Linked DNA regions of Saccharomyces cerevisiae S288C. The protein of the gene in region 2 purifies or fractionates together with the protein of the main gene of each other region. This does not show direct contact. Each region holds a gene or a part of one and is shown on either strand. Other genes may lie near its edges.

Region 1 (3,337 bases), on a different chromosome or scaffold from region 2:
TTTCCCAAGCCTGCCCTGGTATACTGGAGCTGTCATAAAATTTACCATTAGAAACAACCATGTAAGAATCAAGATCTTTCCTACAGGTAGAACTCAACACATCAAAAGTTCTTCCTAGAGAATCAATAACTTTATATTGCTTTTTGATAACGTCGCCGTAAAAAAAATTAAAATCACCTGTGGACTTCAACCCATCATAGTGACCTTCAAACTTTTTGTAATTATCCCAATCTTCAAAATCTGCTTTATGGATCGACAAAAATATAAATGGTAACAGACCACGGGATCTTGATTTCGTATTATTTTGCTCATTGTCAAGTTTTAAATTAAGAATAGTGGCTAATTTTCCTTCTTTATTTATGCCAGACCAAGTGCCAAATATTTGTTTTTCTGCTGAGGTTTTGGCCAGATCGTAGGGTGAAAGGATAAAATCATTGTTATGCCAGCATGTAGCATGTGTTTTTCTTGCCAAGAATTCGTCTCTGTTAGATATTAAGATGAGTTCATAGTCAGGATGTGCCCTTGTGGCCATTAAAATGCACATTATTTGTTCGTTAGTTTTTGGTTTTTAATACTTTAGCCACAGGTGTGTTAATAAATGCAAGCGTTTCTTTCCTTTTCTGCCTCACTTCATATACTACTATCCTACTCCACTTTCAGGGGGAGACTATTTTTTTAGCGCTTTAGGAATTGAACGAAAAAGTCGAAAGCTAGGCAGATGCCAAGAATATAATGTGAGGCAAAAAAAAAAAAAAAAAAAAAAAAAGAATGATTCTGAAGTAAACGCATTGCGAACTAAATGTTGCTATGCCACTTAATCGAAAATTCTATGAAAAAACCCCTTGATCCCCTTTTCTGATTTATGTTTTTGATATTTTTCGATCCTCTTCTTATTCTTCTCTACTGCCATGTTCAACTTGTTTGGTTCTAGAGAAGAACCTTGAGAATTTGTAGTAACCTTGGATCGTGTCGAATGCATATCTGTATGGTCGTTAATATGCTCTTTTTTAGTTGAGGATACGCGAGAGTCCTCCCTCTTCAAACTTTCAAGCGTCTTCAATTTGACCAACCCGGTTTCAGTTTCTAAACGATACTCTTCTGGAAATGCAGCATCGTGAGCTGAGTTTGTTACTGGGGCGGTAATATCCGGAAGAGCTTTCTTGTTCAAATTTAAACCATCTTCTTTTAAGGAATCAACTGTTTCTGAGTTGCCCTCTAAAGCATTGTGGGTAACCATCTTTTCTATCGAATTTGAAGTTGGCCTTTTTAAAGTACTAGAACTGTGATGAGAATGCACATCTGAATGACGGTGTTGATCATCTACATTACTATCATCTTCCAGTTGCCCCTTTCCAACAATGGTATCGTTTTTTAAAAGAGGCTGTTCTGGAGCTTCAGAATCTTTGAACCCAGTAAAGGGCTCCGGTTTGTAAGAGTCAATAGAAGAAAAGGACGATATGTCTTCATATTCATTATCGGTAGTGACAGTAACAGATGGGACAGGCATAGTCTACGTTGATACGTTGTTATGACTTTGATTTGTTAATGCGGATATAAACTAACCGTACAACTACCCGTTGTGAATTGTTGTGGTAGTATATTAATGAAAAAAGTAACGGTATTTTTTTTCTTTAGGAGAGCAATTAAGTCAAGTGAGGTATGTAGTTGCTCATCGATGGGAATTATCACTTTTCGTCTACGATAGGGGCCCTATCAAAGAAAATCGCGCAGTAAAATTCCGGAAGTGAAGACTCAAGTACAAAAAGTTTATAGTCGAGATGGTAAAAATCCTACAACGGCATCACTTATACAGATGCAGGAGCATCCTGCTTTTATTTAGTACTGGTGTAAATTACTTGCAATACGCCGGCAATAAAAGAAATTAAATAAATATACGTGTACGCTCTCATGCGCTAACAAGTGTGTAACCTAGTAATTCTTTGAATCTGGTGTCCTTGATACACATGACCATTAATGCAACCTCCACGTACAATGCTAGATTGTCTTCTTTCAATTTGTTCAACGAGCTAGAGTCTATAACCCATAATACGGAATCAGTTTCAGTTTCGATGGTGAGCTTTTGTTCTCTAGGCATAGCATTCCCTGGCGCAATGATTTTTCCGAAGCATGTGCCATTTGAAAAAATCTCGTACAAGGTTCCTTGTGGTAGTTCATATGTTGCCTTCAACATACCTGTTTCCACAAGGAAAAAAATGTTGTCTGCATGTAGTAAATGTGATTGACTTGCTAATCTGCGCCTGGTGAAGTAGGGGCAGAGTTGTGCCCAAAACTTGATTTCCTTTTCTCTTACTTTTTGAACTTCAGATATTATATCGGGTCGGTACTGCTTTAATGCAAATAACAATATAGGCAGGACAGGTTCATCATCTTTGTACTCCTTTTTGAAATTCTTCACTGCTTGTTCGTCGTTTACAAATACATTCTGTGCTACAGAAAGTATTTGGTAATTACGAGGAGTATTGGTTGGTAGTGACATTAAGTTTCTCGCTGTGTCTCCATTGCTTCCCCTGTTTAAACCATTTCCTATTGTATCAATTTTTTTGTTTTTAGTGGCTGCAATTACTGCGGATACGACATTATTTTGCTTTCCTTCTTCCAATCTTTCTTTCGCCTTTTTTCTTAATTGTTTATATTGAAAAAGGAATTCGTTTTCACACCATTCCAACGCACTGTTTAAATCAGCAAATAATTCCACATCGTTTAGTAATCCCACATTATTGAAGGCGTTGTAAATACGGTCCCTTTCTTTGATTGAAGATATGATTAGTTTGATTCTTTTGGTTTCCGTGAATCTTTTAATTCTATTGAAACCTTCTGCCGCAGAATAGTCAATATTGTCGGCATTAATATTTTTAAAGTCCAATATTAAATACTTTATTCTGCGTTTTGTTGCATCTTTGTTACTTATTTGCAGCAATCTTTCAATTTTCTCTTCAATAGATATGATTGTTCCGAAAAACAGAAGGTTTTGGAGCTTTAAAACATATATTTGTTCACCAATTCCATCCAAAAATTTTGTTTGAACGTAATCACGATATACTGTACTTCTTGCGACGTTCCCATTATATTCACCGTTAATGGTTTGTAATTTCGTACTATCCACCAAAAACGAAAAACATGCAATTAAAATGCCAACGATGATACCTAGGACAAAATCAAAGATACCCATCGTGAAAACAATAATGACAACAGTCAAATATTCGAATCTATTCAATTTATTCCATGTATCGACCAACGCTTCCACTAATAACTCGTAGCCTAGTAGGAAAATTAGAGAGCCCACTATACAGATTGGAATGAATGATATTATGACTGG
Region 2 (3,437 bases):
CTTTGTCATACAAATCCACAGTAGTGGAAGTACTGTTAATATCTAAATATTCAAGTTTGTAATTCCTTTGTTCTAGATCTTTTAAATAGACTGAGTACTCCTCTAAAGGTTCCGTAGATTGGTCGTAAAGAACAAGCGTTCTTGAAGTTTGTGTGCCCACAACGAAAATGGCCTGCAGAAGGATACAAAAGAAAAAATTCCAATCGGTCCGCATCCTAAATAATCAAAAAAGGATAATTCAAAATTTGCACCGTCAATTGTGTTAAAGTATTCAACTTTATAACCAATTCAGTTGACTATACACCTCTTTAAAGGTTTCTCTTTTCAAGAAGCGTGTTTGATATTTTTCAGGCGTAGCTTAGGGTAATGCATTATTCAATAACCCGCCCTGAAAATATCGAAAGTAGATATTGGGATATCTTTAATTGTAGTATACTAATATGTATCTATAAAACAATGAGAGCCCCCTATCATCATCCAGAGATCTTACTCCGCCATTTTTATTTTTTATAGGTTTCTGGCAACCATGATTCATCAACTTTTTTGACAGTGGCACTCTTCTTGGAAGGTCTTTGATTTGTTTTAGACTTCATGTAGTAATAACTTACACCTCCGATGATGGCTAGAAAGATGACCTGAACTGATAAAAATTGTGGGTTGAAAAAGGAAATAGGTGGGCTAACAATTTCGAATAGGGTTGGTGGTGCCGCAATTCTCACGATTTCATCGAACCTAGAAGCTAATAAAAATGGGATTAAAAAGTATTGTCCTTCCGGTAAATTTAACGTAACGTCTTGCCCGAATTTTGAAGTTCCGTTGACCTCCATTTCGTAAGGCCCAATACTCGCACCTGTAATGTCCGCCACAGGATAACCATGTGGATATGTAACAATTGTTCCGTTGACACCAAAAATTGTGATATTAGTATCTTCCCAATTAGTAACATTATAGGCTAAGGTAGCGGTATCCTCCGCGTAAAACTCAAGGAAAGAATCATGATTTTCTGATTCCTTCCCAACGACATCATATTTCACCTCTATATTAATAGAAGGTGGCGCTACCGCCTCCGCAACTTCCTGTTCATGTTCGACATTGTCGCTATTATTAGCTGATATGGCAGCACAGAAGCTGCTCAAGGCAGTTAATAAATTAAACCCGATTAACATAGAAAACCTCATAATTGCCAGCTATAAAGAAGTGACAGTGAACTTTTACTTGTTTCTTTTGTTTAACCACTAGTATGTAATTGTTTTTGCAGAATTTGAAACTTCACCAAAATCTTCTTAACGTTCAATGACAAAATTACTTACCCGAACTACCGAACTACGAAACATGAATAAATAAACTGGAGGCATAAACTCATTTCCAAATTCCCGGAATACATCGTGTAGTCAAGCAGCATACATCACTATCAAAAATCATGCGCTTGTGATTATCGTATAGTGTATTTATATAATATATATAGATAGCGATAAATGGCAAGATCCTCTATGATAAAAGTCATCATAATGAAAACAGATGGCGCTTGTCTACTGTTTGCAAGGCTTGAAATCACAGGTTTTTATTATATCGTGGATTTTTGCCATTGCCTAAATCAAAAATAATGATCGATTTTTTGTGAATTAGGGAACGGAAGGAAAAAATCAGCAAACAGTCAGCCCTAGCACCATAGGCCGACAGCAACAAAAACTGTTTTTTTATTCTCAAATATTCATGATATTGATTACACCGTACTTCTTTTCAATGCGTAAACAACTAGAGTTGACAAATATTATAAACTAAAAACTATCATATTAATAATATACCTCCTAGCACTTCGTAATGTTTCTGTCATTGAATGGCGAGAACATAATTTTAAAGAATCAACACCTTAAATTGTTAACCTTAACAAATGAAGTAAATTCAAATATTTACTCTTGAATTCTTTTTGCTTTAACTAACACATTGAAATATCAAATTAGTCCACTTTTCTTCCTTGTTGAATGGGTTTCTTCATTAACAGGGGAACGCTTGCCTACCATCAAGCCCATTCAATGCAGATGTGATTAATTGGTAAACAAAGGGCCAAGCAAAAATACATCTCTCCTACATGCTACATAAGTCCGAGATATGTTTTATTTAAGAACTATGAATCTGTAAATGACTGATTCAATATTAAACTAAAATTTCTATGAAACATCAAATTAATCACGTGCTTTTTAAAAAATATAAATTTAATTTCATTTTCTATTTCAATATTTATTAAATAAAAAATTTGAAAAATATATAAAAATTGTAGCAGTATTAGATTTCCGAAAAGAAAAAAAGGTTTCAAGAAAAGGAAAAGAAAAACTAAACGTAGTATAAAGTCTTGTTTAGTGCAAGCCACTGTTGGCGTTTCAACTAAACTATTCCTTAAAAATAAAGTACAATGTTACTGCTAAACAATGTTGAAGGTGAGCTTAAGACAGTAAATCAAGGAAATGCGGTATAATTCCTGCTGACAAAGCCGCACATAAATAGCAGTTGTTAGCTATAAGGAGATTTTTAGCTACGAACATGGTTGTAATTCTCTTTATCCTGATTACCTTCAAGATTAAGAAAAAAACAACCATGGTAACTACTTTGGCTCAAAGTCAAACAAAACTTTTACCATTTCACGGTACACGTTTCCGATAAAATATCACTAGCTATTCAATGTCTGTATTCATCGATAAGCCAGAGTACGACGTACAAAAAATAACGTAAATGCATATCCTGCATCAAGAAAGAACCCTTATGGACGAACAACGAAAGAGATCTAAATTTAGAAGACAGCAAGACTAACCATTTGATAGCGTAGTAAGGCTTATCTAGAAATGTTGGACAGATAGGAAGAGAAAGTATAATAATGGTGTATGGTAGATGACTCTATAATCGTGGTCGGAACGTGCAATATATGAGAACGATGAATGCATATACATATGTCGCGACTCCTTTTTTTCCATTATAGCGGCATCGCTTTATTTCGCGTTTTAATTCATTTTCTTTTTTCTTCATTTCTTTCTGCATATGCAAACGCGGCAAGAAGTGCCCACGGATCCGAAGAAAACCTAATACATTGAAGTTTCTCTCCCTGAGATAGGAACTCTCTCTTCTGCGTCAGAAAAAAAAAAAAGTACTCTTTCTGCATATATTGCTCACTACTGACTCACTGATCCTTTTACGAATAGTTGGGCAACACCTATTAAGTTGTAAAACAATCGCGAAAAAAAAAAGAAAACAACCAAGGCATCCCACTTTTCGAACCCTGGCGCTCGGAAGACTTAATCATTGCGAGGTCTCAATTGGCCGGACCGCCACCATGCAGAAAAATGGTGGAAAGTGCGTGCGCGTTTCTCGTGCCACGTGCTTTTAACCTAAATAGGATACAAACTATCGGCTTATCTTTAGACACGCTCTCGCAGAACGATGAGCTA

What was found.
Region 1: the proteins of IRC22 (region 2) and YGR126W purify together in Saccharomyces cerevisiae (affinity purification with mass spectrometry, with the first as the bait; one large-scale study listed by BioGRID). This does not show direct contact.

The regions. Positions count from the first base shown.
Region 1 is NC_001139.9:744,005-747,341, reverse strand, and holds YGR126W (uncharacterized protein), read right to left. Parts: upstream 1,508-3,337; coding exon 815-1,507; downstream 1-814. Other genes in the region: YGR127W (uncharacterized protein), read right to left, coding at 1-544; VSB1 (Vsb1p), read right to left, coding at 1,907-3,337.
Region 2 is NC_001137.3:149,801-153,237, forward strand, and holds IRC22 (Irc22p), read right to left. Parts: upstream 1,179-3,437; coding exon 501-1,178; downstream 1-500. Other genes in the region: WBP1 (dolichyl-diphosphooligosaccharide-protein glycotransferase), read right to left, coding at 1-214. UniProt on the Saccharomyces cerevisiae protein: Is probably involved in a pathway contributing to genomic integrity.